Drosophila melanogaster: one gene and its partner. The protein of the gene in region 1 purifies or fractionates together with the protein of each later gene. This does not show direct contact. Each region holds a gene or a part of one and is shown on either strand. Other genes may lie near its edges. The genes, in order: CycT and pgc.

Region 1 (18,139 bases):
ATTTAAATTTTAGCTCTGACCCTTTTTTATACTAATGAGTAAATAACTTTTAACGGAGTCTAAAAGTATGCTACAATATATGAACATATGTGCATTGAAAATCACAAAAGTAGCATGTCTGTAAGCAACACGAATTTAAAAAATTTATTTGCAATGCACACAGCTAGAATGATGGTTACGAAAATAGTTTCAGGAAAACTTTTAATTTGATGCACGGTGATTAGTTGATTTTAACTATGAACTGGTATGGAGAGAAAGGACAGGGCACGTGGTGATAACGTGGGCTATGATGACATTATAATGTGTTATTGCACGTAAAATTTAATATATAACTAAAGTGGTCAACTTCAAAGTTTTTAGCGGAAATTGGTGGTTTAAGTTGGGGAAGCTCACCAGTATATTCGTTGGTTCAGCAAGCCGCTTTTGTTCTCAAGTACTCATTTATATATTTGACTTTGTTCTTGCAGTGCCCGACAACTACTACGGAAGCAGTGGCGCCGGCAGTGGGGGCACCCAGCCAGGTGGTCCGGGAAACCCCCAAACGCCTGGCTACCTGACAACGTCCTACTTCAACGCACCGACAGCGGCAACGGCAGCGGCGTCCCAGCGAGGAACCACAATCAATGGCTATCATTCCCTGCACCAGCAGCAGCAGCAGCAACAGCAGTCGCAGCAATCGCAGCAGCAACAGCAACTGGCCCACCAGCAACTGTCGCACCAGCAGCAGCAGGCGTTGCATCAGCAACTGTCGCACCAACAGCAGCAGCAGCAACAGCAACAGCAGCAACACCCGCACTCCCAACTGAACGGTCCGCATCCGCACTCACATCCGCACTCTCATCCGCATTCGCATCCGCACGCGGGCCAGCACACGCATTCCACAATCGCTGCAGCGGCGGCAGCGGCAGCAGCATCTGTCGTCAGCAGCAGCAGCAGCGCCGTTGCAGCGGCAGCCATGCTGAGCGCCAGTGCAGCGGCAGCAGCAACGGCGGCAGCTGCGGCGGGCGGATCCCAGAGTGTTATCCAACCGGCGACGTCCAGCGTCAGCTACGATCTCTCCTACATGCTGGAGCTGGGCGGATTCCAGCAGCGGAAGGCGAAGAAGCCGCGCAAACCGAAGCTGGAGATGGGCGTAAAGCGGCGCAGCCGGGAGGGATCCACCACCTATCTGTGGGAGTTCCTCCTCAAACTGCTCCAGGATCGCGAATACTGTCCGCGTTTCATCAAGTGGACGAACCGGGAGAAGGGCGTCTTCAAGCTGGTCGACTCGAAGGCTGTGTCCCGCCTGTGGGGCATGCACAAGAACAAGCCGGACATGAACTACGAGACGATGGGCAGGGCGCTGAGGTACTACTACCAGCGCGGCATACTGGCCAAGGTGGATGGCCAGCGGCTGGTCTACCAGTTCGTGGATGTGCCCAAGGACATCATCGAGATTGACTGCAACGGTGTGTGAAGTGATGAGGACGAGGAGGACGACGAGGCCTGTAAATATAGTTCGATCCCAGATCGCAGACGGATCGAGCTGGAATGGCAATAGGTTTTGGGTGGGGTATAAATCAACCGGCTAGCGGCAATAGTGGCTGAAGGCCACGCGAGATAGGGATTTCTTTGTACATGCGTTGAGTTTCTTGGTTAGCCAGCGATAAGCGTAGGTTACACACATAGCTGATAGTCCCAATACGCGTACATATACTTATATATATATATACATATATATATAAATATATATTCACACCCTGTGTCCTGTACCCTATACATACACCCAGCTAAATCGACGGTAAATAATGATCTATTCATGGGCGTTAGTGTTGTACTTGTAACTGTAGATTTAACTGTAAACTGTAACTGTAATGAATATTGTTATTATTGGTTATTATTATTATTATTATTACTATTACTATTATTAATATTATAATTATTATTGCTACTGCTATGGCGGAAGGAAGAGGACGAAGGACGACCGAATTGATTCATATTGATATTCGATAGATGTGTGTAATATGTAAATGAGTACGAACCCCTATAGCTGCAAGAATTTCTCTATCTCTATTGATCTAATGCTAAATCTAAATGTATATGAGTATGTATATGCCTAGCCTAATGACCTTTCAACTGTCCCCTAGCCCAACCCGCTGCCCGAGGACAAGCTCAGTGCAGATGCAGATATGGGTCTATGTATGAACATATGTATACGGAGATCTGAACGATCTGCACGGGTGTCTGTGCTTGGGCTAATTGTTTTTGTTGCTTATTTTATAAACGAAGAGAGATGGAAATTTATTATTTCATAGTTTTAGCTATTTGTACGACTACGTTTAGGATATTTATTTAAGTGTTTCTCCAGCTAATCCCCCGAAACTTTCCCCAAAACAACAAAAACACACACATCCTAACTGGAGCTAAGAACCCAGCAAACTGGTGGTCTAAACTTTCTTGTAATTATTATTTGATAAGTTTTGTATATTTACAACATCAACAGCAGAAAAGCTCACAGGATAAACCCGAAGAAGGCACTTCTTGAGCCCTCGTTTAAGCAGTCTTAGAACACCAAACCAAACTCAAGTCTCTCGATCTGAAGTTTATTTATAAAGCATAAAGTTAAACTACCGTATTCTTGTTAACGTCACACTGCCACAAATCGAAACAAGCCTTACATAATGGAACAGATCTGGACATTTAATCGAACCAAACCGAGATACTGACCCATAGTTTCAACAATACTGCAACCGCAATCCTCAATGCAATATACCGACAACTTCTACAACAATTTCCAAACACTGCCCAAAACGTGCAATCTCTTGAAAGGATACCTTGAATAGGAAAGAGAATAAAACCAACTCCTAGTTCTTTAATCTAATTCTTTAATAGTTGCGTTCTCTAAGTACCTTTATCTATTATTATTATTATTATGTGTACGTGAAGATGAAATCTACAATATATCATTTTGTTTATGATGATTGGTGATTGATGATGCAAATAAACAAAGTGAGTCTTGAGTTCAACTCTGTTCATTGTAAACAATTTTTTATGATTATTTTTTATTTTTTAAATAAAATTATTATTTCAATTTGTGCATGCGTTTTATTTACACATTCGCAAACCAAACACACCAAAAAAAAAACAAACCAATATAAAAACCGAATGAAATATAGAACGTAAGCAAAGATATGATACAAATATATGGAACCCGCTACAAATTTGGAATCTAGATATACCTCCCATGAAAAGTACATAATGTTGCATAAGTTACAATATATTCAAAGTCTATATAGGATAGTCGAGATTCGGATTGACGATATTTGAAGTCGAGATCACATATTTTAGATAAAGTCCAGTCGGTGTATTTTGTAGTTCTAAGACACCATTTCACGAGGTCTCAGTTTATGAGGTTTCCCCCAGATCATGGATTTATATGTATGTCTATTTATTGGCGTAGATCACCGCATCTACCATTATTACCTAGCGTAAATCAGTTATTAGTTGTTAGGGAATGAATATTTAAATGTTATAAGACCTTAGATATAAGCACACCCACAACAAGAGCAGCATCGAACCAGATATGCAAAAATCACGAGTCGAGTACAACGAAATCGGTAAACAAGAATCTGAGCCACAACCCGGATAATGCAGCTTTAAATCGAGATAGTACATTTAAATTTCAATCTCCTATTTCCCAGAGAGCTCTCCTTTCACTTCGATAGCCTAAATCAGTTGGAGACTCCAACCCGAAAGCATTTATACATGCTAAGCACGATAATTGTACATATACAACTTCTGGACCTCATGACTCCACTCGATTATAAACGTATTTTATATGTATACACCAATTATTTGTTAGATTGGATAACCCCGAATGGCTGGATAAGACCAACTAAATTATATGCAATAGAATATCGATGCCGTTGGGCAAGATTTCTATGCTAGGCTAAGGCTAAGACAAGATATCTTTCTATTGGTAACTCAAAAACGAAACGAACTATATAGCTTTTAAATGGAAACGTGCGATTATTCAAAGGTATTCTATGCCGCCTGAGAATAGTAGAGATATGGATTGGCCTAGATTTAGACGAATATGTTGAATGCATTAACATTAGATACGATTAGTTTTTGACTTACTAACCTAAGTTAAGTTTTTAGACTGTTTATTTCACTTTTTGTTCAATCTTTGTACATTTGACAGACACATTTTAAAAATGTCTGCGATGAGAAATCAGCTAAAGCCAGCCACAATATATATAATATATATATATATACTTTAATGCTTATGTAGTAAGGAAACGAACGTTGGATCGAAGTCATGGTATGTAGGTGAATTTTATGGTTAGAGGCAAGCGCAAGCGAACGGATTAGATTAATTTTTATAAGAATGCATTAAGAAAAACGAAGCAAGTAACAGTCACAAGCTAGCATAATTATTTACTGTTATGACGACATAAGAGTTTTAAGGTTTTTAGCTAAATTTTGTATATTTTAATCTACAAACTATAAATATATATTATCTGTTTTATAAATAACAATAAAAAATTCATATGTGTTTTTATGACAGATTTCAAATGGGTAGAGCATCGCTCTCAAAATGTATAGCCATTTTGAGCTGTACAGGAATTCGGAATGTCTTTTTTACTACTAGTATTATTTCTTATGATTCGGTCGGTTATGGCTTATACGCATAGACCAATAACTCTACATATCCCCACCCACAGAAAGAAGTCACAAAATCTGGGAGGCCAATTACAGGTCCAAAACGTTAGATTAGTCGGTCACCATTAAATCGATTGTGGCACGAGCTGTGTGACATATTGCGTCCTCTTTTTGGAACCACAGGTCCTGGACATCATGGTTGTTCGATTCAGGAATGAAAATGTTGGTAACAATAGCCCTATACCGATCGTCATTTACTGTAACGTACTGGCCATCGTCGGCTTTGAAGAAGTACGGACCAATGATTCCACCAGCCCATAAAGTTTTTCTGGATGTAACGGTGTTTGAGGATTGGCTTCAACCGAAGTGCTGGTTGTCCGACTAGGTATATAAACATATACATAACAACATTTGGATATTTTGATAAAAAAAAGTCATGCGATTAAATGAAGGTGCTCAAAGTACATATATAATATGTCCATATACATATAATAAGATATATTTAAGATGGGACTGTTCAAACATATTAAGTACAAATTCGATTCCCCCGGAATATACGTTATTTTTTAATTGAATAAGAAGGGAAAAAATGTTGACATTGTGATATTTCTACATGTGTTAGCGAAATGTAAAGTTTAAGGTAAGTTACTTAAAAATGTATTTACATTTATTTGAATATCTACCTTACGATTATTAATCGATAACATAAACAGTAGAATCAATGTTGCCATATTTTAAAAATAATATCGATAATGCGAAATAAACATCGGTTTGGAAAGCCTTATCGATCTGGCAGCCCTGCCGACGGCCATACTTGAAAATACATTTTTTTCTGCAAAGTTTGTCATTGTCACTGTGTGAATGGAATCTGTGATGTGTTGTGGAATTAAAAACGTCGAGTAAACGACCCGTAATGGTTAAAGTGCCCGGCGAAAGCAGTGCGAATAACTATGAATTGATACGAAAGTTGCATAACACGTCGCCTGGTGTCGCGGTTAGTGTGTTTTTCGTCTCGTTTCGTTTCCGCCGCAGTCGCAGTTTCCAGAAAACCTCACCACACCATACCATCTCCACCACGCACACACACACACAAACAAACACGCAGAGACGCGGCGGCGGAAAAAGTGTGCGGACCGCGGATTTAACCCCTCGTTCCAAACCCAAATTGGAGTCTCCCAAAAACAGCGAAATATCGAGTGTGGCTTAGCCGATGTGCCGTGCGATCCCCACTGCCCCTTCCGTACCGCTGCCACCCCCGCCACAGCAGCAACGCACACGGATACGGACACAGACACCAATACCAGCGCACTCAAGCACGGCCGACAAAGAAAGAGCGCTCTCCCTTCCTCTTCGTACAGTTAGTTCCTACAGCTGAATCAGCCAAAAGGGAATTACTAGGTCCATTCCGAGGCGCAGTTTGCATGTGAAACGGAGGTCCCCGCATAACCACGCGGAACCCGAAATCCCAGATCCCCATCTCCGCTGCACGGATAAAGGAAACATACAACCATGAGTCTCCTAGCCACGCCAATGCCCCAGGCGGCCACCGCCTCATCTTCTTCATCCGCCTCCGCGGCCGCCTCGGCCAGCGGGATTCCAATCACCGCCAACAACAACCTGCCTTTCGAGAAGGACAAGATCTGGTACTTCAGCAACGATCAGCTGGCCAATTCGCCAAGCAGAAGATGCGGCATCAAGGGCGACGATGAGCTGCAGTACCGCCAGATGACCGCCTATCTGATACAGGAAATGGGTCAGCGTCTGCAGGTGTCCCAACTGTGCATCAACACGGCCATTGTGTACATGCATCGGTTCTACGCCTTTCACTCCTTCACCCACTTTCATCGCAACTCCATGGCGTCGGCGAGCCTCTTCTTGGCCGCCAAGGTAGAAGAGCAACCGCGGAAGCTGGAGCATGTTATTCGGGCCGCCAACAAGTGCCTGCCGCCGACCACCGAGCAGAATTACGCCGAACTCGCCCAGGAGCTTGTGTTCAACGAGAACGTGCTCCTGCAGACGCTGGGCTTCGATGTGGCCATCGATCATCCGCACACGCATGTGGTGCGCACCTGCCAGCTGGTCAAAGGTATGCACCCACCATCCGACCCAAGCCATGTCCCCTTCACATGTCAGATGGTACTGATTACTGTGGTATATTTTAGCATGCAAGGATCTGGCGCAGACATCGTACTTCTTGGCCTCGAACAGGTATGGCTAGCAATGCGCTACTCTATGGTGTAATCCCTCCTAGAGATCGCCCCCAACGCAAATACGGCTGTGGTATAAGCAATGTGTGTGTGTGTGCGGGTGTGGTGTTGGCCCAATCCTCCCCAGAAAGTGGTCAGGCTGTAGAGAGTTCGATCCCTGACTTTTTGTGGCTAAAATCTTTGGGCAGTTCTTTTACCTGCTTAATTCCTCGCTTATAGCTAACAAACCCAGGTATGTGAGTCGAAACAAAAAAAAAAAGTGACGACCCCAAGTCACAAATCGAACAAGAACACGCGGTCCCTAATCGCAGCAGGACGTCTGTACAAATATCGCATCTTAGCAAAAAGGCAGTATTTTCCGTGTCCCTCGCGGTAATTATCCTCAGTTGCCTGCAATAACATTGTAATTTGTGTCGGAAAATCCGCCAAATGTCAAGAATAAGACTAATTCCTAGAAAGAGTCGTTAATTCCTAGAAAAAGATATTTGAAGAATTGTAATGATAACCATTGTAATCCTTTGGCATACTAAAACATCTGGAAAAAAGATAAATTCAGTTTGGCATACCTGCCTACCTAAAACATAGTCAAAATTCTGATTACATGAGGAGAGCTCATTGGGAAAATTTGCGCATTTCGAAATATCGGCAAACGTTTTAGAATAATTCTTTTAAGTTTAAGATCCCCAAGAAATAAAAGAGACTCGCTAAGAACATGCTAAGAACTAAAGACGTAATCTGTATTATAAGTGATGAAATCCCCCTGCACACACTCACCGAACTACATTTATATGTGATATTCTTGCAAAAGATTTCCCACTAAATTGACTTAACCATCCTGGCACAGCCTGCATCTGACCTCGATGTGCCTCCAATATCGCCCCACGGTCGTAGCCTGTTTCTGCATTTACCTAGCCTGCAAGTGGTCCCGATGGGAGATCCCCCAGTCGACCGAGGGCAAACACTGGTTCTACTATGTGGACAAGACGGTCTCGCTGGATTTGCTAAAGCAGCTGACAGATGAGTTCATCGCTATCTATGAGAAGAGCCCGGCCCGTCTGAAGTCTAAGCTTAACTCGATCAAGGCGATCGCCCAGGGAGCCAGCAATCGGACAGCTAACAGCAAGGACAAACCAAAGGAGGACTGGAAGATCACCGAGATGATGAAGGGCTACCACTCAAACATCACGACACCACCAGAGCTGTTAAACGGCAACGACAGCCGGGATCGGGACCGAGATCGTGAACGGGAGAGAGAGCGGGAACGGGATCCGTCGTCACTACTGCCGCCACCGGCTATGGTGCCGCAGCAAAGACGACAGGATGGTGGCCATCAGCGCTCGTCCTCAGTGAGCGGAGTGCCAGGCAGCAGCTCTTCGTCGTCTTCCTCCAGTCACAAGATGCCAAATTACCCTGGTGGCATGCCGCCCGACGCTCATACGGGTAAGTATTTCAACAACTGCAAAAAGAATCACATTTTTAACATCTTCGTATTGAAGATCACAAGTCAAAGCAGCCGGGCTATAACAATCGAATGCCCTCAAGTCACCAGCGTAGTAGTAGCAGTGGACTCGGTTCCTCGGGAAGTGGCAGCCAGCGCAGCAGCTCATCCTCGTCGTCTTCAAGCCAGCAGCCTGGCCGACCGTCTATGCCCGTGGACTATCACAAATCCTCTCGCGGCATGCCGCCGGTAGGCGTGGGCATGCCACCTCACGGCAGCCACAAGATGACTTCGGGCTCCAAGCCCCAGCAGCCGCAGCAGCAGCCGGTCCCACATCCATCCGCCTCTAATTCCTCTGCATCGGGCATGTCCTCCAAGGATAAATCCCAGAGCAACAAAATGTATCCGAACGCACCGCCGCCATACAGTAATAGTGCCCCTCAAAACCCGCTGATGTCGCGTGGTGGATATCCAGGCGCTAGCAATGGATCCCAGCCCCCGCCTCCCGCCGGATACGGCGGCCATCGCAGCAAATCCGGCTCCACCGTCCATGGCATGCCGCCTTTCGAGCAGCAATTGCCCTATTCCCAGAGCCAGAGCTACGGCCACATGCAGCAGCAGCCAGTGCCTCAGTCTCAGCAGCAACAGATGCCTCCGGAGGCATCCCAGCACTCGTTGCAGTCCAAGAACTCGCTCTTCAGTCCAGAGTGGCCAGACATTAAAAAGGAGCCCATGTCGCAGTCGCAACCACAGCCTTTTAACGGTTTGCTACCCCCTCCTGCGCCTCCCGGCCACGATTACAAGCTAAATAGCCATCCGCGCGACAAAGAAAGTCCCAAGAAAGAGCGACTAACGCCAACCAAAAAGGATAAGCACCGTCCTGTCATGCCCCCAGTGGGCAGTGGGAACAGTTCCTCCGGCTCGGGATCATCAAAGCCGATGCTACCGCCTCACAAGAAGCAGATACCCCATGGCGGGGACCTGTTGACCAATCCTGGAGAGAGTGGAAGCCTAAAACGGCCCAACGAGATCTCGGGAAGTCAGTATGGACTAAATAAGCTGGATGAAATAGATAACAGTAATATGCCTCGAGAAAAGCTTCGCAAGCTGGACACTACAACTGGACTACCAACTTATCCGAATTATGAGGAGAAACACACGCCTCTGAATATGTCCAACGGAATCGAGACAACGCCGGATCTGGTGCGCAGTTTGCTAAAGGAGAGTCTGTGTCCATCGAACGCTTCGCTCCTGAAACCGGATGCCTTGACTATGCCTGGCCTGAAACCACCGGCCGAACTGCTTGAGCCCATGCCCGCACCAGCGACAATCAAGAAAGAACAGGGAATAACTCCGATGACCAGTTTGGCTAGTGGGCCCGCACCCATGGATTTGGAAGTACCCACTAAACAGGCCGGAGAGATTAAGGAGGAAAGCAGCAGCAAGTCCGAAAAGAAAAAGAAGAAGGATAAACACAAACACAAGGAGAAGGACAAGTCCAAGGACAAGACGGAAAAGGAGGAGCGTAAGAAGCACAAGAAGGACAAGCAGAAGGATCGTAGCGGCAGCGGTGGCAGCAAGGACAGTTCTCTTCCCAATGAGCCTCTGAAGATGGTTATCAAGAATCCCAACGGCAGCCTGCAGGCCGGTGCGTCAGCTCCCATTAAACTTAAGATCAGCAAAAATAAGGTTGAACCCAATAACTACTCTGCAGCGGCGGGTCTGCCTGGCGCAATCGGATATGGCTTGCCTCCAACTACGGCTACCACCACATCCGCTTCGATCGGAGCAGCTGCTCCTGTTCTGCCTCCTTATGGTGCCGGCGGTGGTGGCTACAGCTCATCGGGCGGCAGCAGTTCCGGTGGCAGCAGCAAGAAAAAGCACAGCGATCGTGACCGCGACAAGGAGAGCAAAAAGAATAAGAGCCAAGACTACGCGAAGTACAATGGCGCTGGTGGCGGCATCTTTAATCCCCTTGGCGGTGCTGGCGCCGCACCCAATATGTCTGGAGGAATGGGCGCCCCCATGTCTACTGCTGTACCACCATCCATGCTGTTGGCGCCCACCGGTGCAGTACCACCCTCTGCCGCTGGGCTGGCACCGCCTCCCATGCCCGTCTACAACAAGAAGTAGTGGTAGCGGTCAGAGGGTTATTCTTAAGTCGTACGTTTTGATATATGTATAGAACCTCAGTAAGTCCGATTGTAGTATAGTTGTTAGGATTGTTAGTGAGATGCATTATTGATTTTAGTTAAGCACATAGATAAAACTCCAAATTGGAAGTGAAACCGGATGCGCAGATCGAAGAAGAGTGGAAGTAGATGTCGCGATGGGGCTGGACGTAAAAGCAGTACTCAAATCGCGAAAACTTTTGTACAGCATTAATTAATTTATAACTATAATAAATAGCATACATATAAGCCCACATACATAAAAATACGGAATAGTTTTAAGCGAATTGTTGGCAAACGGAATCAGAGACCCAAGCAGAAAATTCACAGAGAGCAGCAATGGCCGTCTAGCGTTTAAGTTAGCAAATCAAATACCCGTTTCACACACTCTAACCTGTATATAGCCACTCTCACAAACACACAATCAAGAGATATATAGTACAGACTTCCGCTTAGCAAATATACTAAATACGGCCCCAACTAAATGCAAGCCAGAGAGATAGAAAGAGTAAGAACTTCAAAATAATCCCCACAGAGGAGCATATAGTTGTGGCAGAGGATAGGAGAGTAAATGGAAAGCCAGCGCTTTGATTCAAAATTGAAGACGCCAAACCACATAATGAATTATTTAATTAATACATAGTTGCTAATCCGAAAATGAATGAAGATGTTTATTTTTAGTTAGCAAAGTTTTCCCTTCCTTTCTGAACGATTGCCCGATTACTAACCGTGTTTCAATATAGTTTTCGACACCTAGCAATATATACAGTAGTGTATTTACACTTTTCAATGAAGATAAGTAAAAAGATCGGATTGTTTCAGCGGATGATATTATGTTTCAAGATCGCCTGGAACGTTGACGTAGCTTTCATTTGTTTTAATTTATTTTTTAAATAGCATTACAAAACAAATTACCACAACAAAAAAAAAACCAAAACAAAAACAAATAATAAAGTCCCAAAACAAAAACGGAATATGCAAACAAAAAAGAAACCCAAAACTAAATTTTGGATAAAACAAAAGTTGTTGTGCAAGAAAACAAAAAGTTTTAAAATTATGTAAATGCAAGCGAAAACGTTGCAAGCAAACTAAGCTAAACGAACGAAAAACTAACAGAAGGCTAAACGAGGAGAAACAAAAGTTAGGCATATAGAAATCTAGGCATGATCTATATATTCGAGGCGAAAATGAGAATGAAATGAAATTTTATGTAATTTTCGACTAAGGCAAAGGTTAAGCGAACGTTGCGCGTTTTTCAAAACTATTCGTACTCGTATATTCGTATTCGATTTCTCTACTACTGCATTAAGCTGCAAGCATATATAGCTCTAAACACACCACACATCCATTCACACACCATCCATCCCATGCAGTCGAGAAACGTATTCTTTAAGTTGGGAACCCGAGAAACCCGTTTTTATAATCGATCGAAAGAATGCGCAATTTGCGTCTAAGATTTGGATTTCCCTTTATATACTTATTCTTGGCCCCTTTTACCACACTCCCCGCCCACGCCCATCCCCACCCCTCGCCCCTCCTAACTTAAGTTTTTGTACATACTTGGAAAGCAAATGGAAAACCCGCCGCTCGGGTGGCGGGCAAGTGTCGGGTTTCATTGGGATTGTTTGGTTGTGCGTTCGAATATGAATTCACTCGTCACTTGCACGCCCCCACGAGGGCACAAATAAAAATCTTCAAAACCCCGCAAAATTCTAAACAAAAAACTATAAAAATGCAAAAAATAAACAACAAAAAAATCAGGAAAATTAAATGATATGTGTTTTTCTTGCGGTGCTTGGGGGAACTTCTTGTTCAACTTTCTGAGCGAAACTTCAGATTCTTGAAAACGGTCCAAATATTAATTAATTTTGTACTTAAAATTTTAACTAAATTTATTCTAAATATCTCATTTGTTTCGTTAGCAAATAACTCTTAAATAATTTAAATAAATATCTTAACTAAAATAGGATTCTAATTTGGAAGAGAGAATTTGTAATTTAGATGCATTTTAATGGAGTCATAATGTACTTTACCGCTCTTTAGAGTGTTTTAATTATCCAGTTTATTTAAATCATTGCAAGTAGATCTTTCTTAGGAAGAACAGTTTAGTCTTAGCTTATTCTTTATTATGGGCGATGATATGGTTAAGGATCCAGTCCAAGTAGCTGCTGATGCGGGTGAACACGGCCGGGAATCCCACTTGACATCCCATAGAGGTTCCAAAAGAGGTGGATCCGATCAGGTAGCTGGAGTTGCCCTGCTTGTAGACCAGCGGACCGCCAGAGTCACCATGGCAGGTGGACTTGCCGCTGGTGGTGCTCATGCAGATCATCTTCTCCGACACAGCTCCACTCCAGTACATCCGGCACAGGGAGTGAGGCATAATGGGCATCTCCACGTATCTCAGCACGGGGGAAACCGAGTCGGAGGCATCGCTTTCCCGCCCCCAGCCGGAGGCGAAGGCCCGGATGGACTCGTACGTGGGAAACTGGCCATTCAAGCGACGGGGCAAACTGGCGGCCCGGATGCGATCAGTGAAACCCACAAAGGCGGGCAATCGAATAAGCGAGATGTCGTTGACCACCGTGCTGGCCATATAGTTCGAGTGCACTATAATACCCGACTTCTCCACCATGATCCTTTCTTGACCCTCCTCGGACTCATCACCGATGTTTATGGCCCCCAAATAGACCGTTACGGACTCCGCCCCATCCATGCAGTGTGCTGCTGTGATTATCCAGTAGTGTGAGATCAAGGTGCCGCCGCACCAAGTGCTCCAGTTCCCGAAGGAGACGTTCAGACCGGCCTGGTAGGGAAACTGACCCACCTCCGCCGGTTCTCCATTCGTAATATAGGGTTCCACATCGGTAAGGAGGGGAACAGCCGTACAGGATCCTACCAGCAGGACGCAAACCAAAAGTTTCATCATTTTCTAGGTTCAAAATAACTGAGGCAGCGAGACTGCTTCATGGTTATATAGGAACGGGTTAAGCCTGCAGCTTGTTATCTCATGATAAGGACCTCTTAAATTTCGAGCACCCTAGACCAATGGGATTATTATACCATGATCACACAACAAACAATTCACTTGACTTGGGATCCACCCAATGAATCACTGCAAATTGAAAACCTACGGCACGTGAGATGGCTAATCAGGTATTTTCAATTTAAGTAGTGCACTAAATTTAAAATCTAGTTGAACTTCGATTAGCAAATGAGGTCACGTAATTACTTACTTATTCCCAGTCCTTAGTTGATTTGATATCAGTACTTACAATATACGATTGATAGCTTCACTTATATCGCCTGTCAACGCGACATCCATTTTTAAGTTAGCAAAGAAATTGTAACATACTTTTAATTGCCGGCCACTTAAAACAAGCTTTCATTTCAAGTTAAGAGTAAGAACCTCTTCAAAAATACGCTCAGGTGTTTTGACTATTCTTTGAATAAATGCTGCTATCGGAAACCCGCGATTAATGAAAACATATGTACTTTAAATTGTTTCGGTAATCAAGTGGCGTTCAGATGAGTCCAAAGTGATAATGCATAATCAGGCATTACTTCTTATAGATTAACCAATTTAGGGGCCATAAATCCGCATTCATGTGGATGGACTGCGTCAGTGGTGCGAATAGTTGACTCTGAAAAGCATGCAAATCAGTACGATTTTAGTTTTCCTGCTTATCTTGGTTCAGGGAAGGTCGATCTCTTGCCTGGATATGGGTCATGGGATTGGAGGGCGAATCGCTGGCGGGGAGTTGGCCCGAGCCAATCAGTTTCCCTATCAAGTGGGTCTGAGCATCGAGGAGCCCAACGATATGTATTGCTGGTGTGGCGCTAGTTTGATCTCCGACCGATATCTGCTAACGGCTGCACACTGCGTTGAAAAGTGAGTATTTAGTGAAGCATTTAGTTAATATAGTACTAAACTGATAACTTTATCAATTCAGAGCGGTAGCTATCACCTACTACTTGGGGGGAGTGCTGCGACTTGCCCCTCGGCAGCTTATTCGATCGACTAATCCCGAAGTGCATCTGCACCCTGACTGGAATTGCCAAAGCTTGGAAAACGACATTGCCCTTGTACGATTGCCAGAGGATGCCCTGCTGTGTGATTCCATACGACCCATCCGGTTGCCAGGACTCTCATCGAGCCGGAACAGCTACGATTATGTTCCGGCTATCGCTTCCGGTTGGGGCCGCATGAATGACGGTAAGAACTGAATGATAAATCAAACCGAAAGTCGTACGAATTAACCATAATTTATACTAATTTCTTTTTATTTAACCCCACACACAGAATCCACTGCAATATCGGATAACCTGCGTTATGTTTACCGCTTTGTGGAATCCAATGAGGACTGTGAATACTCCTACGCTAACATAAAACCTACTAACATCTGCATGGACACAACGGGAGGGAAATCCACCTGTACCGGAGATTCTGGAGGACCTTTGGTCTACAGTGATCCTGTGCAGAACGCGGACATTCTGATCGGCGTCACTTCCTATGGCAAAAAGTCGGGCTGCACCAAGGGATATCCATCGGTTTTTACACGCATCACCGCCTATTTGGACTGGATAGGTGAGGTGAGCGGAGTTCACTATCCGTAGAAGTGGAGGGGGCCCTCGATGGCTAATCAAACAGTGCTGGGCACTGCAATTAAATTAAATGTTGAGCATTTTAGTTGCGACTATTGGTTTCCTTTCGAAGTGGTGGGCGTACCGAGAAGAGCACTTCAGAAAGTGGCGCAGTTCCACTCCATAGAGTGCAAAAGATAACGAAGCTGCTTCTTTTGCCTATGATAAGAAAGACTTGCATGTGGTGTAGCATATTTTTTGGTGTAACTTAAAAATCAAAGTAGATTGGTCAACAAAATAGGTCAAATAAGAAAGAAACAATATCTGAATTTAATCAAAAAGTTGTTTTCCACTCGGAAATTTACTATTGCATACGTATTGTATTTCCTTAGTTGAGTATAAAATCATTCGTCACGAAGTTAGAATCAGAACTATTGTATATTGAAATTCGAGCGTCACGAAATTTTTCCTGGCGAAGAGGATTAATTAGAGGATATTTAAAGTTCTTAGTTTCTTAATTTAGTTCATTATGGTAATATTTTCGAACGGAGCACGGGTTATTAGCATCGATGCGTATTTGCTAAAATGCTCTTTTTGATGTTAACCCATACCAGAACCAATATTAAAAATATTTGCTTTCGAGGCTTGGTTTGCTTCGTCACTACGTGGACTAGCATCCAGAATGATCTTAAGATACCACTACCGTAACTGCTCCCCATTTATTTTATATTTTATTAACACTAAAAGATCTCACGTAGGCTTATCTTCTGTTTTTGCCAATGGATTATAAAAGCCCCAAAAAGCCCCAAGGTCAAGCACCATGTTACCAAGGACGACATCATCCTGCACGCCGACTGGAACAGCCGTACCCTTAGGAACGACATCTCCTTGATCCGCATTCCTCACGTGGACTACAGCAGCGCCATTCATAACGTCGAGCTGCCCAAGCACGAGTACCACTACGCCTCCTATGATGGTGATGAGGTTATCGCCTCCGGATGGGGACGCACTTCCGACTCTTCCAGCGCCGTCGCCGCCCACCTCCAGTACGCCCACATGAAGGTCATTTCCAACAGCGAATGCAAGCGCACCTACTACTCCACCATCCGTGACTCGAACATCTGTGTCTCCACTCCTGCTGGCGTGTCTACCTGCAACGGTGACTCCGGTGGTCCTCTGGTCCTGGCCTCCGACAAGGTCCAGGTCGGTCTTACCTCTTTCGGATCCTCTGCTGGCTGCGAGAAGAACTACCCCGCCGTCTTCACCCGCGTCACCAGCTATCTGGACTGGATCAAGGAGCACACCGGCATCTAAATTTAAGTTTCTGATTTTTGCATTATTAAAATAGGTGTAACGGCGAACATATAAATCTTGTGTTGTTGGCTTATTTAAAGGTCTTATGCAATATTTGGTAAATTCTGATTAGCTGGTAGGGGTGTTTATAAATACAACACTTTTTTTTTAGCAAATATAAACCAAACGTATAGCCTCTTTTTCAGTAATTTAAAAACAACTAGATCTGAATTACTTAACGTTAACCATTTTTATTGGTATTTCTTTTTCTTTGTGTGGCTCCTGGCTTCATAGCAGAAGTTCCAGTCCTTGCTTTCTATACCATAATTTGAATTTAAAATTTAATTTTGATAGACTTCCGATCGGTCAATAATCATATTATCATATAGGCCTCCTTTTGCAGAGTTACTCTTTTGCAAAAACATTTGGAATGTGTCTGTATATAATTAACATTTATACAATATACATTAATTGTATTTTTAAGGGTTTAAGTTTTTAGAATTTTTATATATATTATGTTGTCTTTTTATTTAATAGTAAAGAGCGATTTTACGAACTAACATTATCATTATTACGAATACACATACAGTTATACAGAATAGAAAATTTAATTTGTTTAAAAATATTCATCCATCAGATTACAAATATTAACTTTTTTATTTTATTTTAATTTTTTCGCCTTTAGTTCTTTGCTGTGGGCACGTATAGAGGAATAGCGCATAAAAATAACAATTATAAAAAGTTTTCTCTGCATATACATACAAGATATACTTTTGACTCTATAGATTTAATAGTTAGTTTGGATTCTTCTCTCTTAGTTTGTAAAACGTTCTCAACTTTTTACAATTGTCGGCAATGTAATAAATATATTTATATATAATTTGGACTCGTTTGTTAGGTTCGTGTGGTTCACCATGCGCAGCTTTATTGGGATCCTTTTTTCTCTGCTTGTATAAGGTGTATGTGTAGTGTGTGAGTTTTGGCGCCTAGTTAAAATACATACGAAATAACACTAAACTAGCAAAAATGATTATAATACAAAAGCAAACGAACAAATAAGTACACGATCTGCTGGCGGTGCTATTCCAAGTGAATGCAATGAGGTTGCGGTTGTGCCGCTGATTTCGCTGTTGCTGCTCTTCAAGTCGTTGTTGTTGTTGATCTTGTGGTACTTGTGATGTGTGGAATCGTTGTAACTGCTCCTCCTCCTGGCGCTGCAGAAACTGTTGCTGCACCTCCAGCCAAAGCCATTCGCTTGCACTCCCGTTGCCGGTGTTATTAATCAACTCCAGCAAATCCTTGGCTGCCCTCGATGGCCTTGATCAGTTTGTCCTTCAGTTGCAGGTAGCCTTCATAGGGTGGCAGGTCCAGGCGATTGAAACTGTAGAGGAATATTGTTAGCAAACAGGTTGAAAAGCCTTAATTGGGTTTTTCGCAATTTGACCCGAAACTCACCAGGTATGTGCCCTTGGAAAGTTATTAGGAGTGCCCCACTTTTCGATAGTAAACATCTGGGGGCCATTTGAGCCGTACAGCTCCTTGAAACCGTTCATGGGCACGCGTGAAGTGCCCGTAACAAATTGCAGCAGACGAGAACGCATCTCGTTGGAGAAGGAAAGTACAGCCCTCCAGAACCACTGAATAATAATATGATTCATGTGGTAGTCGCCCTTGTACAGAGTATTCTCGCGCCAATCCTTCACATCGATGTTCTGTATGCCACACATCAGTAGCTCCAGTTCGTGCTCGTCGAAAATCTTAATAAGATTCAGAGGAATTATCGATCCAAAACCATCAAGGAA
Region 2 (15,181 bases), on another chromosome or scaffold:
GTGTTCTAGAAACAGTTTCAGGAAAGCATTTCCCCATTAGCTGGACGTTAATTAGATGCACGACACTACAAAGCACTCAGTTATAGATTTTTATTTACTGGCGGGGGAGACAGATCAATGGAGGGATGGGGCTTACCGATTGGATATATCCCGACTAGTCTAATCTTTACAGCTGTAGATAGCCGCAGCAATATGATGAATTGGCTGACTCACGAATTTCCGAGTGGAAAACGTATTTGCATACATGTACAAGTATGGCCAGTGCCAGTGCCAGTTACCGGTTTCTCTCTAAACTTGAACAGAGTCTACCCTCGTATAGCCCAGTTCAAGCGGACATCTGTGTATACAGACATATATACATACATATATCGCTGCAATGACAGAAATGGAATTAATTATGGTCGGAGTGTCGGCGGCGCCTTGGCCAAAGCTAAAGCCAAAGCCAATTTCAAGCGAGCCAAAAACCGCTGTCTTTCTTGACTCGATGAAATGTGTTAGCCGAGAGACCTAAACACGTTTAATGCGATCTCGAGACTGCAGTTTTCCCTTCGCGCTTGTGTCAGGCTCCCAGTCAACCTGACACCCACTCGCAACGCGGAGCTGGCTGCTAAGCGGTTTGCTGTGGGGTCTAATGAAATGCTCTAACATACGATATGTGCGCACATATGTTCCCATAGCCGCCATACTGTGTATTGGCTGGATAAATGCGATCTATTCTGGCCGCCTTAACTGCGCATTTTGCATTTTACACTTTGCTGGCGGAGTCGGATCTCTCGCGATCCCGGGTCGTTTGCCTGGTTACGAAAAGCAATAATACCCAAAGCTCTTTGTTTACCACTCGGCGAGCCACGGTCTCGAATTATGTGTTTGCTTTGCCATGAAAACGAAGGCAAACACAGGCGGTCTTTCAATAGGGCCATCCGCCATGGAATCCGCATCGAATGGGTGGAAAATGCATTCCAAAACTACGTAAATTGCATAAGAGACCTGGAGAGCGTCGAGTTTTCAGTCTGGTTTTGAGAATTTCTTAGAATCAGCGAGCTGGCAAACGAGTTCATAATCGGCGTCAAGAAACGCTCAGTGGGGATTCCCTCATATCGAATCGATTCCAAAAAGCACAATGTGATTACCCAATCGTTTAGTTAGGGTAACCAAACCAGTCGCGTGCAATCAAAGGGCAAGCAAACTGAAACTCAAATAAACAAGCTCCAGTTGATGACAGACCAACTCGAATCGCGAGATTGAGAGTCAGCAATTCTCCAGAAACTATTTTCGGCATATGCATTACTGTTAGATGATGTATACAGTACTAATCAATAAGGGAAGTACTTTGCGGATACGGTAGTGCGAATTGTGCTTTCACTGGATTCTGAGTAACGTGTTGAAAATACGCAGCGAATCATATGGGGTGCAAAACAATTGCCATTAAACGATAAGCAAACATTTGGAAATTCGTCGATTCGAATGTAGTGTACCTACTAAATTAGCATGCGAAATGATGTCAACTCTCCGGGTGCCAATGTGCTAATTGGGGCAGTCAACTTGGCTCACCATTTCGTCATGCAGATCGGTGATTTTTAAGGAAATAGGTGGACAATGTGCGCATTCTGAGACCAGCCATGAGCTCGGCCACCTCTCCAGAATGTGGTTGATTCAATAAACGCATATCTACTTATCTGGCTCCAGCAATTAGCGATAAGATAGGGCCCGTTGGGTGTGAGTCGTCTGTTTTTGTCATTTTCTCAGAAGCGGCCATTACTGTACTGTATAACGTTGAATTTCCTGGTCCATTTCAGTTTGCCCATCTACAGGAAAATGAGTCGCCAGTCGACTTGCAGGCTAGTCCTGCTGCTGGCCTTTACCCTGGCCCTAATCCACGCCAGCCACTCAAATACCGTGGGCCCCAAGATCCACTTCATTCATGACGATCTGACGGAAAACGAGCTGAACTCTGGAGAGGAGGTGAGCCCGACCGAGAGTCTGCCCAAAATCTCCACCCCCAAGGTAAAGGATTTACCCGTGGAGACGACCACCAGGAGCCCCACAAAAAAAACCACGTCCTCCGGCACCGAGAAGTCCCTTAGCGAGGAGGCTTGGAATGATCTGATGGAGGCGGCCAAGCACAGCCAAGCTTTGGCTGATGATCCACACTTCAACAAGATGCTCAATACTACCGTCGCCGCCGGGGAGAAGAACTCCACCGATACCGACGATAGCGAATACTATGACTACGATGATGATTACAACTATTTCGATGAGGAGACGGTGACGATTTCCCCCAGTCCCAAGAAGGCCAAGAGCAACCCCAAGCTGCAGCCCATTGTGGATGCCACCATCACGAAGTCCAAGGTATACTTCCCCCATCATCCTTAAATTCAAATAAATATGTTTTCGTACTTTACAGAGCAAATCCAACGACCAAAAGACCAAAGAGAGTGCTAACGATATCGACAGCGACTCTCAATATGACTACGACGAGGGTCTGGATGATGATGATGACGAGGACGATGCCGCTGACGACCTTTTGACCGATGATGAGCAAGTTGTCTTCAGCGAGGACGTTCCGTGTCCAAGATTCTGCCAGTGTGCCCGGAATGTCAACAGCTATCTGGTGGCCACCTGCAGCAGACTTGACATGGGCATCCAGAAGTTTGGCTCTGACATTACGGATTTGGTTGTGACCAATGTGGGTCCTAAGTACCCCATCCTGATGGGACCCAACTTCTTCCAGAATCTGGGTCTTAAGAACGTGGCTTCCATCAAGATCGCCAACTGCACCTTGGAGTACCTGCACGCCGAGGCCTTCCACGGACTGAACGAGCTGTACGCTGTTAACTTGACGGATGTTGGTTTGGCTATCATTAATCCCGATACCTTTGTTGGAAACAAGAAACTGCGCATGCTGACCATTTCGGGTAACGACTTGAGTGTGATGTCCAGCATTCACTATTTGCTGAAGGTGAGTGATTTCAAAAACCTTTACCTTGAAATCCAGCTAATAAATTATAATTTTGCAGTCTTCCAGCATTGAGGAGCTGGACTTCTCGCGCAACAACCTTATGGAGTTGAATCCCAAGGCCTTCTCCCATCTATCCAATGTCGTCTACATTAACTTGAGCCAGAACAGTCTCAAGAAACTGCCCGAGAAGGCTTTCGAGAAGGTTACTCTTCTGGAAGAATTGGATCTGTCTTACAACTCGCTGACTGAATTGCCCCGCGATATCTTCAATGGCACCACCCTGTCCATACTGCACCTGAAGTACAATACCTTCAATGGCGATCTGCACTTTGGCACCAAGGATCTGCAGCAGCTGGACTTGAGCTTTAACTCGATTGTCCAAGTGCACCACAGCATGTTCGACAAGATGCCCGGTCTGACCAACCTGAACCTCAAGGGCAATGGCATTAAGAAGATCCAACCGGACTCGTTCCTTACTTTGAAGAACCTGCGCCACATCGATTTGTCCATCAACGATCTGGACCAGATCTCGGGAATGCTGTTCTTTAAGAACTCTGAGCTGGATGTGATCCGTTTGAACGACAATCCTCGTCTGAGCCAGTTGCCCACCGATGGCTTCTTGAGCTACAGTGGGGAGTTCACCGTCTACTACCTGGATATTTCCAATTGCGCCATCGGTCCATTGGGTCACAAGGCCTTCTCCACTATGCCGCATTTGACCACCTTGAAGTTGGCCTGGAACAACATTAATCATCTGCCGCGCGAGATTTTCACTGGACTGCACAAGCTGATTGACTTGGATCTGAGCAACAACCTGATCACCCGCATGGACGATCTGATCTTCATGGACAACGGAGAGCTGACTAAGCTCAGTCTGGCTGGAAATCCCATTAGCCGCTTGTCCGTCCGCCTCTTCCTGCCGCTGCACCAACTGCGATGCCTGGACGTCAATGACTGCGAGCTTACCACCTTGCTCTCCGATCGCGACTTGGGTGCGGGTTACAAGATCTTTGACAGCCTGCGCTCCTTTAACGCCTCTGGTAATTTGATCAAGAAGATCTCTTCGGAGGATGTGAAGAGCTTCAAGAACCTGCGTTCTCTGGATATCACCAACAATCCGCTGAAGTGCACTCCCGACTTCCAGGAGTTCATCAGCTACGTCACTCTTCAGATGCAGATGACTCCCAAGCGTCTGCCCGTGCTGGCCAATCTGGAGGACGATGCTACTATTGTGCAGCTGGAGACTCTGGCTCAGGCTGGTTGGTCGTCTTTGGCCCACGAGGTGTGCAAGCATGCCGAAGGATCAGATCTCTTGGACGAAAAGAAGGCCGACAGTGCCGAAGCCAAACTGGAGAAGCGTCTGAAGGAAAGCGTGAAGAAGCTTAACGAGGATGAGGCTAAGTTGCTGAGTGTCCTGGACAAGAGTGTGCTAGACAAGAGCAGGCTGAGCAGCATGCAGAAGATCATGAAGGGATCGGTGAACACTGAAACCGCGAAGCCTGAGGAAGATGCTGACGAGGAGAATCTGAACAATGGCGGCGAGGATAAGGAGGATGACAGCAGTGACTATGACAGTGAGGAGGATGATGATGACGATGATGAGGACGATGATGATGACAACAACGATGATGATCGCTTCGAGGAGGCCAAGAAGAATGCCAAGGCTAAGGCCGATGCTAACAAGGCCTTCGACACGTTCGTGAACAAGGAACTGAAGCCAGTCCTGAAGACCGATGGTATCCAGGCGGAGGAAGTGGACATGTCTCAGGAGACCCGTGATAAATTCCTTCTGGGTAAGTTTTAGCCAATCATTCGTTGATGGAATGTATTCCAATCGTATGTTTTACCTTCTCAGAGAAACTGGGCTTCGACAGCGAAAGCGAGGAGTCAGATGAGTACACCGAGAAGATGATCTTCCACGGCGAACTATCCTACGACCTGGTGGTCCCACTGATCGTCGTGTCCTTCTGCCTCCTGATGATCGTGCTGTCCATCGCCCGAGTGATCTACGTGGTGCTGCGCAAGCGCGGCGAGCGCTATCGCATGGCGCTGCTGGCCTCAAAGAACTCGTTCGTATACCAGAAGTTGAGCGAGGACATCGTGAAGCCGACCAGCAAGGAGCAGAAGGAGCCCAAGCATCTGAAGCAGCCAAAGGTGCACCGATACGCGCCCATCAATCAGGTCTAAGTCCACCTAGAATCAGCAGTTCCGGGCCGGTGGCCGCGGAAATCGAACGAGTTGCGCTGTTTTTCTAATTTATAAGTATATTGATAGTTGAAAAAGTGGAAAATCACATCAGACAATTGACTAAACACAAGCACAAGAATGTAAGAAACAGGAGGAGGAGCAGTAGGTGGCAGTTAAAAGTATTAGCGAAAGTGCGAGGAAACAAAGCAACAACTAAAAAATACTTGAATCCAAATAAGAGATTGAAAGAGAGAGAATAAATCTTTGACAAAATCCTTTATCCTTGAAATATCCTGTACCATCAAATACTGTTAAGACCAGTCAAAGGTCCTTGGCAACAGCAGAGGTGGGCTTTCAGAGAACGCGTTTGATGAGCAACCGTTTCGAAAGCAACGGATTTGCAATTTATCAAACCTCTGCCCACAATCCGTATCCAATTAGTCCATATCCGGGAACAACTTGAAGATTTAGTGCCATTTTGCCAAAATTCAAACCGAGCGAAAATTACTTAAACACATTAAGGTTTCTAAACTGAGTGTCAAGTCAGGAACAAGAAACGAGGAGCGAGGAACAGAAAGTAGTAAGAGTTTTAGATGCGGGTCTGTGTAGCAAACGGTTAGGAGACTCCCTAGAATGACGTCTGATTTTTAATATGATCAAGAGATGAGAGAAATAATTAATGCATAAACTATGTTAAGACTTTTTTATTATCTTTTTTCCAATCGAAGGCAAGTAACAGCTTGACCTATTCGACATTGAAACCGATTCCGAAAACAATAAATTATTTTAACCAAACCGATCGTAATCTTTACAATGCATACTTAATAGACATACACACTTGCATACGTACTTTAAACAATAACATGCCTTTCAATAAAATTGAATATATTTTATCTGCGTTCAATAAAAGACTCAAGTTGACCGACATCCCCTTCCTCCTTTACGTAGGTGCTCAAATTCCGCTGGAAACAGAGTGCCAATTCGTTATCTTCCCGATCCCGTTTCAGTTCCTCTCTGACCTGCCGCCACATCCGTTCAAATCCACTATCGAACGGCATTCCCAGGAAGCGATTATGTCTGGAACGGAGTTCATTGCCGATCTGCTGCCACATTGCCTCGAATTCCCCGTCGTAGGGCATCCCTAGAAATTTACCCTCACATCCGGAGGATTCGAACATGAAGGAGTACTCAAACATGTTTCAGTCTAAAATATATTATAATTACAAAAATTACAAGCTTTTTTTGGAGCAACTAATTTGTAGGATTTAATCCTTTTTTTTTTGTTTTAATGATATGATATCATGTATGATTTGTATGATATTATATTAATATTAATATCTTATATCATAGTATTTTTGGTCCCAGCGTCGGTCTTCTTCCTGCAGCTTAGGAAAGCAAACTGAGTAGAGGATTCTCAAACGAAGTGCAGACCAAAAAAGAGGCCACAAAATAATGCTGAATGTACATAAGATCCATTGCGACAAAGAACATAAAGTAAACAAAAATCAAGCAGGGCATCAAATTTCCTGTGATTCTGTATAGGGTTTTTAATGGTATTTTTCGTATATACACAAGTCCAACCAAAATTAAATGGTTCACTCTAAGCTTTTTATACGCTTAAAAAAAATAGAATTTTGAAAGCTCAAGTATGGTCAGATCTTAAACGAAGATCCGTTAGTTTAACATTTTTTTTTCTTCAAGAGAACAAGTTGAGCGTGGGTAAGTTTTGGCTCCAAATTAATAGACCTCCATGGACTTCTCAAAGAGTTGCGACAGGTTTTCCTGCGTCTGCGCCCTGGGTGCTAGCTTAGTGATCCTTTCCTGGGGCAGGGTTCCCTCCACCAAGGCGGGTATATCGCTGCTGGAGAATCCCAGCTCTCGGAGGCCATTTTCTATGCCCGCGCGTTGCATAAAACCGCGTACAGTGTCCGCCAAAAGACGACCGGCGTCTGCTTTTTCGACACCTCGCACTTCTGCGCCCAGCAACTGGGCAGCCTCCAAATGCCGATCCGGACAAGCTGGAGCAGTGAACTCAAAGACCGCCGGAGCACTGATCACCACGGATAGGCCGTGTGGAATAAGAGCGTGATCCGCGGAGTAGCCCTTTGGCTTGTAATCCCTCACATTTCCAGAAATAGGATAGGAAAGGCCATGACACAGGTGCACTCCGGCATTACCAAATCCCACGCCAGCCATTGTGGAAGCCAGGTGCATCTGGGATCGGGCTTCTAGGTTATCGGGCTGGTAAATGGCGTTCACAAAGTTTTTCCTTATCGTCTCCAATGCGAATCGTGCCCACACATCCGACACTGGGTTCCTGCCCTGGTAGGTGGGTCTCAAGCTGGGATCACTGGGCGCCAAACCGCGTTCCCTGTAATCCACCGCCGTGAAACTCTCCAGGGCATGGCAGAACACATCAAAGCCAGCGAAAGCCATCACGCGTTGCGGCTGGGATAGGGTGTGCAGAGGATCAATCACAGCTAGAGTTAGATAGAACGATATTAGAATAAATTATTTAAAGAAGTTCAGTTTTTTACCCAAAGTAGGTTTGAGGAACTTGCTGGAAATCCCAGTTTTGGCATGCAACTTCTTGTAATCAAATATAGCTACTCCAGTGGTTTCGGAACCTGTTCCCGAAGTGGTGGGCATCGCAATCAGGGGCTTCAGTTTTACGGATATCTAAATGGAATTCAAGTGGTATTAAAGGTACTAAGTCTAAAAAGGAGACCTCACCTCCTTGCCTCTGCCAATTGGGCAGTTTACATAATCCAAAAACTCTGCATTTGCATCACTGCTAAAAAGATTAGCTGCCTTGGCTGTATCCATGGCAGATCCTCCTCCGATGGCCAGAAATGCATCGAACTCCTTGCCGCGCGCAAACTCCACGGCATGCCACATGCTCCCATCCGTGGGCTCCACCCGGGTTTCATCATAGACTTCGTAGTTGATGCCATTACGAGCCAGTGAATCCAAGGCCACTTTCACGGAGGGCAATTGCACGACATTTTTATCCGTGACCAAACAAACCTTCCGAGCTCCCAAGTTGCGAAGATCGGCTCCCACTTCGGCACTTACTCCCGGTCCAAATCGAACAGTCGAGGCTGACATCTGTTTATCAATACATTTGACCAAATTTGAATTAGAATTTGTTATATACCGAACAAAATTTAAGTTAAAAGTATTCACAAGATCTAAAATATAAATTCTATTGGGATGCTTAAGAATATAGAGATAGTATTATCTGGTCCAGGGTATGACCACCTGTCTAAAGATGAGAATCTACTATCTGGAGGTGCTCCAAAGTCCAAGGTTTTGCCACTTACCTCGAAGGCGTATTCCATGCGACCCGTTTGGGAGGCGGTTGGAGCTGCTGAGCCATAGTTATGCGAATGGGCGGGGCACTTGCAGCTATAAGACCATACTTTATTTAAATCACTTGAAATCAGTTATAAAACGCAATTTTTACTTACGAGTTGGCCACGATCGTGTTGATCAAACCTAAGACATTCTTCCGCGACATTCTGTATATAAATGAAATCAGCTGGACTGGTCTTTCGTTTGATAAGAACCCGCCGAATCGATAGCTGGCGCCAAAAGACAGCACTTCATAATCGATAGCTAACAATTTGAAATTCTCTGTCTTGCAGCTTTGAACTACAAGAAGACCCGAAAATGTGCGACTACCAGATGGAGTACTCCTTTATTTTTGAAGACAGCTCCTGCGAGGGCGATGCCTCGATGGCATCCTACGACAATGGATTCGAGTCCATGTGGCATCAAGTGCGCGAGGAGTTGCAAAGGGAGCGGGAGATGAATGAGCTCTGCCAGGTTTTCCAGCAAAACTTGAGCCTGAGTCCGCCGGTCATCGCGGATAGATGGAGATTCTGACTGGACCTCCCAAAAGCCAACTTATTGTGATATTTGTAAATTATAGTTTTAGCAGTTCGTTTGCCACATGAGTGGAACATCGTGAATGCACTTTTGATAAGTGCTCGGTTATTTTATATTGTAACTACCAGCCTTCAGAGGCGATCGTATGCATAGTTTCTTGAAGTCAATTTGTCCGTGTATTCAAATGTTTGCTTTCGTGAAAACTCGCATTGTTTTGTCACTCTACCAAGTAATCAATTTGTACCAATCAATCGCATATGGTTGTCCTAGATCTAAAAATGGCAATAATTTGCCTTCGGTATTGCACCTAATGTATTCAAGAACAAGTAGGGAAGCTCGAAATTTCTCAAATACTTACCCAAAAAATAGATAGAAATATATTTTCGATTCGCAATCGTTCAAAAACCCATTCGTTTTTAATTACGGGTCCCACAGTAAGATGTGACTGCGATTCAATTGTAATGGGAACAATTGTTCCCATTACAATGGAGCTAATTACCTAAATGTATGTCCGCCCATTTTTCGCGCTGGATTTACAACTCAATTTGCCGCGCTATCTGGCCGATCTGCGAACATAAACTACTGGCAATGGTAAACGATGTTGACGGCAGTTTCCCTCATTAGCATGCAGATCGTCGCCGATCTTCTGGGCGCCAGGCCATAAAACGTTTGATTCCAGGCGTATCGTTCAGCAGTTTGTGTTGAACTGGTAATAACTCGACATCGCGATCGCGAGATGAAGTGGCTTAGTTTGTTCCTGGTATTCGGCATCCTCGGACTCATCGGCAGTCTGGGCACTTTAGCCCTAGCGGAACCCAATCCGGAGCCCAAGGGTCGTCCGCACACAACGCGACGTCCTCGAAACGATAACGACAACGATCGACGCTAGCAATCCGAGCGGCTGGAGGAGATGGAAAAACCCACGAAATCTCCCCGAAGATGCACCGAACCACAAAGGACACAGGAGGCACAGCGACTCACGGTGAAGGTGAAATGTTTTGGAGTCGAGAAAATGCAATATGTTGAGGTGCTGCTCATCTAGCGAGTGGCATCTTCCCGTGCACAATAAAGACTCATTCGTTTACAACAGAGTTTTGATCATGGGTTTATTCGATAGTTTTCTTCGACATAGGTCTACAGTTAAATTGGTCAGCTTAATGATACCCTGACGCTCTCGGGGATTCTTCGATACTGATTGATTGGCGGATAAAGCAGGCTGACTGACTTTCTTTGGTTGTGCGAGGGTTTTTTTTGGGGAGTGCGTTTGTATTTACCATATATTTGATTCTGTTTCGGATTTTACCATTACCATGCGATATTGAACGTTGCTTAGGGCTTATCATAATTTACAAAGTGCCGCATCTTGCGGCTTATCAAATTTAATTCAATAGTTTCCGTTTCCATTTGCTTAGCTACGATAGTTTCGGTTACAAAATAATTTCAATTTATCTAAATTGCAATCGCATCTCCAGTGCCCAAATCGGCTTGTAATTCAGTGAGTATATTACCGTCACGCAATCTGCCTCTCACTTTTAAATCGGTTTAGAGCTATCTTTACAGTTACAATTACAATTAGAATTACATATATGTGATTGATTAGACTAATGCAGTTTGTTGGAGTTGGGGTGGAGTTTTTGATTCGATTTGAATTGATTCGAGTTGATTCGATCCTTACTTCTCTTGCCTGCGATTGGGGCTTAGTCTACACAATATAATTATGTCGTTATTTATGTTTAGCATATAGTTCGAATTTCTATCTGATTTGATCAAATGATTACTCGCTTATCTTGTATTACTTGACGCATATGTATCTGTAGCTGCTGAATGCTTGTATCTTGTAGGTGGGTCTGACACTGACTTGAATATAATTGAGTTTGCTTGTAGATTCTAAGCTCAAATGCAGCTGAAAGGGTAAATGGGTTATGGGGGGGTGAAAGGGATTTTCATGCGGGAGTACAGCTGAGTATCTTTGGTAGTGGTAGTTGTAATCCTATCTAGCTAGCTTTTCACTCTTATTCAGGGGACTCCGATGAGGCCGATATGCCGCCCAGACTGCAGGCCCCCACGCTGCCCGCACTCGTCGAAGCCCCAATATCGCTGATGCTCTTCACGCGCCGTCGACTCTGCTCGTAGAGCATTTGTGGGTCGGTGGACACCGCATCCAGTGCCCCACCAACTGGCGGAGCGCTCACACGATGACCAGGCGGCGGACCATGACTATAGATGCCCCCAGCCGAGGGAATCGGCGGTGGGGCCGTCGTAGGCGGCGGCAGGAAGTGATGGTAGTGCTGCTGCTGGAGATTGGTGTGCGGATTCGGATACTGGTGCCCTATGGTTGCGTATATTCCTCCGCCACCCTCGCTGCTGCTGTACGAAGGCGTTGGGGAGGTGGAGTTCCCAAAGGAGCTGCGGTCCCCGGTGCGATGTGGTTTGCTGTTAAACCGAAAGGCTTTAGACAGGGAGCTCTGCAAACGGAAATACAAATATTGAAATGTGCTCCTTGAGTGAATGAAATGCCAACTCACCTGAGATCCTTTCCATGCCGAAATCTGTTTAGTAAAATAAATGAAAAGAAATAAATGTTAATAGTTTTAATTTGCACAAGAACACTTGTTTCAAATCCTAAACTTTTGCCGACAACGGGAACACTTCGGAACTGTCATGAAACTTTTCCTGTTCTTAGGTGCCTTAGGAACTATAAATATTTTCCAAATCAGTAATTATATCCATGCTAAGGTTATCTAATACATGTCATATTTGCTATGTTAAAGGCATATTCATTATTTAATTGTGATGAGTAGATATTTGAGTTTCAATATTTAACATATCCTTACGAACTTATTCGTTTTAAGCTGACCAAAAGCTAACAACGATGTATTTTGGATAGCCAATGAATTTTCGCTTAAATATTGTAACATCCTTGAATGTCCTTTATCTCAACTCAGAATTTATCACATACTTGTTGGCACCTTGGAGTGTAAATTATAGTCAATACAGCCTGCAAAGGCAACCTATCATAAATTGAATTTTCAATTTGGATGAAAGCCTGTGAAAACATGCTCCCAGTGATATGAGAACACTTGCTGAAGCCACCTCTCAGGGATTTAAATAATTTATGACACAAACACCGAGCGACAACAAAAGCTTCACGTCAATTCAGGCTAGGGATATACAGCAATAGTTGTTTGTCGACTGGCACAGACGATTATTGTATTCAAGACATAATTGGCTATAACTAGCTATGTTATTAGTATTAAGTACTTACCCTGAGGTTGCCGCTCGAGCGGCGATCTGTTGTGGCATAGTGCTGCAGTCCGCCGGGTCCCGTTAGAGGCACTACGCCGCAACCGGAACGGATGCCCTGACCCAGAGTCGCTCTACACAACAAACATGGCAATTTCGATTTGCGAATTTTTGCATAGGTCATATGCGTGTGTGTGTGTGTGGGTGGGTGGTGAGTGGGTGTTGTGGGTTCACGGGGGCATATATCATGTTGTGAATGGGTTTGGATGTGCATGTATTTTTGATTTTCATGGGCAGGCAGGCAGGCAGCACATTGAAGACAGGACACAGACGGCAGATAACGGGAGTGTGGAGTTTTCGAGATTTCAAATTCGAATACATGGAGTGCGGGTGGTCAGGCAGAGCGGCAGAGATAGCAATACAGAGCCAGAGAGAGAGAGAGAAAGCAGGCAAGGCAGGCACACATACACACACAGAAAGTGGTTTCATTGGCATGTTGTTGAGTTGTTGTTGATTGTGTTGTTGAGTTGTTGTCGGTATGGTTGTTGTTGTGTTGGTAATCGTGTTAGACAATCAAGCAGAGTTAGCAACAACAACAAGCCGTCAATTCGATTACCAAATTACAAAATTGAAGGGAAACATACGGAGGTGAAAGCAAAAGAGAGTGGATCGAGTATAGGAAATATGAAAAAAGAAACGGGACAAAGACGAAAGAATTTGATTAATCAATGTTAGAGAGATACTTTTATTTTGATTTGTATTCGCCATGGCACAATTAACTACACGTAGCGTAAAACAACAATGAAATCAAAGATCTATAGTGAGTTAAAAACCCCCGAAAGAATAGAAACTAGAAAGTAAAGGTAACTTGAAAAAAGAATAGCATTGCTAACAGTCACGAAACCAGCAGCCATAAAAATTGTCGTTTTTGTTTAAGCCTTACAATTCCAATCACACATATGTAGTATCGTTAAGGTATTTGAATGCAGTGGTACTTATTAAGTTGACAACGATTAGACTAGTTCAAGCTACTTAAAAACATTGATAACACATACATAGAACTGGTTTTCGGTTGTCTGCGTATGTTTTCGAGTATGTGTGTGTGTGTTTGAGAAATAGAGAGAGATAGGCTACTTAGTAAGCAAGTTTTACTTACAATTGACACTGTAGTTGCAAAATTGCAAAACCAAACAAACGACTTCTTAAAGAAATTAACTTAGAGGAGCTATAGCCCTGCGGTCAAATCTTCAGCTCCAGAATTCATTACTTCGCATTTTTGTTGCCCAGAAATATGCAAGCAAATATTTGATACAGCCATATGCAATAAGCAAGCCATGTCAACAAAATTACATTTTTAGGAGCTTACTCTTTGGAACCTTGGCCATGGCAGACTCGATACCGCAGGGCGAAACTCAATCAAAACGCTTCACAGTATGCAACACCAAACATGAACTATATCATCTAACCACGGAAATGTAGATGTGTATGTGTTCATGGACCTGTGTGCGAGTGTGTGGTTATGTAATTGGTCTTTAGGGTTCCATTGTGCGTTCAGTGGCTGTCTAACTGAGCTCAGAAAACAGCTTCAGTATCACAGGGAACTTGTGTGTTTCGGCCTAGTGACGAAAGACGCTCATGTGGAAGGGTGTGTGTTTGGGGCATTTGCAATGCTCTATCTTAGGCGTAACAATTGATTATATCTGAAATACATACATATTTCAATTCCCTCCCCGATTACATTGCCGTAAAGCCTTAACCCTAGATTTCTACTACATTAAATGCTCGCGATTCGACTTGTAAATCAACCTAAGTAAATGCAACGTTAAGCGCTCCTCGCGGAGAGTATCGTTATAATTTCGATATCGGATATGCAAAGCTTGGACACTGGTTTTGTTTTTGACGTGTGCGTTCCTAGTTCGATGCCTAAAGCACTTTATAATATTGTGGTATGATTACATGTACGGCTACTACTCGGATGTGTGACTATCCTTGGGTGGATCTATCAACTATTCGTAATGACGAAATGACTAGCGCTGTGCTCCAGTTATTGTTCTCTCCCTATAGTTATTATCGTATCATCTTTATCAGCTTGGCTAAACAACAAATCAGTATGAATCCCGTTTGACTTTTGATTATTATTCATTTTCATTATCGAGTTCTTTGGTTCGTGCGGATTGTTTAGTGGCCCTGCAATTTGGCCAATTGTCTGGAGGCTTCCATTTGAAATTCTTCCATTTGACAGTAAATAAGGTATCTGCATTTCGAATATAGAAGATACAAATAAACATGGTTCGAGATATTTTGTGGGAAAGAAAAGAGAGAGAAACATGGCCACGAGGGCCGCCATTAGTGCGATTCGCTTTTGGGCGGTTTTATTTTGCTTAACAGATCGTCTAAGACACGTTCACATGATCAACAACGAAACAAAGTACAGAATTACTATCTAAATATACAGGCTCGAGGACCTTTACATACTTATGCACGAGTAGACAGAGTTAGATACAGATATGACATCGCATGATATGACATCTAATGAGTCGAGAAGTTGGCATTTCTGCAGTCATTATTTCATTGGTGATGTGGAAGAAGATAGATGGATGGTATGCACATAAGAAGCAGCTTATAAACGAATGATCAAAGCACTAAATATATTAAATAGCCAGAGATGATGTGAATATGACTGAATAATGTTTCGGGTGTATGTTTCGGGTGTCGATGATGATGCAGATGATGAAATGAGATCTGAAGAGCTCCCATTTGCGAAATACGAAATACTTCCTGCTAGCAAACTTGAACCAAAAACAAAACTCTTGTAAACGATATGGTCTTAACGAAGGTGCAGAAATGAACACAAACTCAAACTCAAACGCACAACGAAGACCGTTAACAGAATGTTATATA

The links.
Region 2: the proteins of CycT (region 1) and pgc purify together in Drosophila melanogaster (affinity purification with western blotting; one study listed by BioGRID). This does not show direct contact.

What each region holds. Positions count from the first base shown.
Region 1 is NT_037436.4:17,545,087-17,563,225, reverse strand, and holds CycT (cyclin T), read left to right. Parts: upstream 1-5,437; 5' UTR 5,438-6,153; coding exon 6,154-6,730; intron 6,731-6,806; coding exon 6,807-6,852; exon of another isoform or gene 6,853-7,083; intron 7,084-7,394; exon of another isoform or gene 7,395-7,695; coding exon 7,696-8,291; intron 8,292-8,347; coding exon 8,348-10,422; 3' UTR 10,423-12,222; downstream 12,223-18,139. Other genes in the region: Eip74EF (Ecdysone-induced protein 74EF), read left to right, coding at 468-1,456; CG7542 (uncharacterized protein), read right to left, coding at 12,577-13,389; Jon74E (jonah 74E), read left to right, coding at 14,114-14,352, 14,414-14,676, 14,764-15,077; Nedd4, read right to left, coding at 17,616-17,718, 17,793-18,139. UniProt on the Drosophila melanogaster protein: Regulatory subunit of the cyclin-dependent kinase pair (CDK9/cyclin T) complex, also called positive transcription elongation factor B (P-TEFb), which is proposed to facilitate the transition from abortive to production elongation by phosphorylating the CTD (carboxy-terminal domain) of the large subunit of RNA polymerase II (RNAP II).
Region 2 is NT_033778.4:22,323,379-22,338,559, forward strand, and holds pgc (polar granule component), read left to right. Parts: upstream 1-6,821; 5' UTR 6,822-6,883; coding exon of another isoform or gene 6,884-7,626; intron 7,627-7,683; coding exon of another isoform or gene 7,684-7,825; intron 7,826-7,879; coding exon of another isoform or gene 7,880-8,254; intron 8,255-8,469; coding exon of another isoform or gene 8,470-8,554; intron 8,555-8,616; coding exon of another isoform or gene 8,617-8,666; exon of another isoform or gene 8,667-8,694; intron 8,695-8,792; exon of another isoform or gene 8,793-8,793; 5' UTR 8,794-8,818; coding exon 8,819-9,034; 3' UTR 9,035-9,435; downstream 9,436-15,181. Other genes in the region: Gp150, read left to right, coding at 1,797-2,349, 2,405-2,959, 3,018-4,752, 4,815-5,146; CG34207 (uncharacterized protein), read right to left, coding at 6,037-6,342; T3dh (type III alcohol dehydrogenase), read right to left, coding at 6,884-7,626, 7,684-7,825, 7,880-8,254, 8,470-8,554, 8,617-8,666; CG34208 (uncharacterized protein), read left to right, coding at 9,774-9,926; Liprin-gamma, read right to left, coding at 11,050-11,502, 11,563-11,586, 12,303-12,414.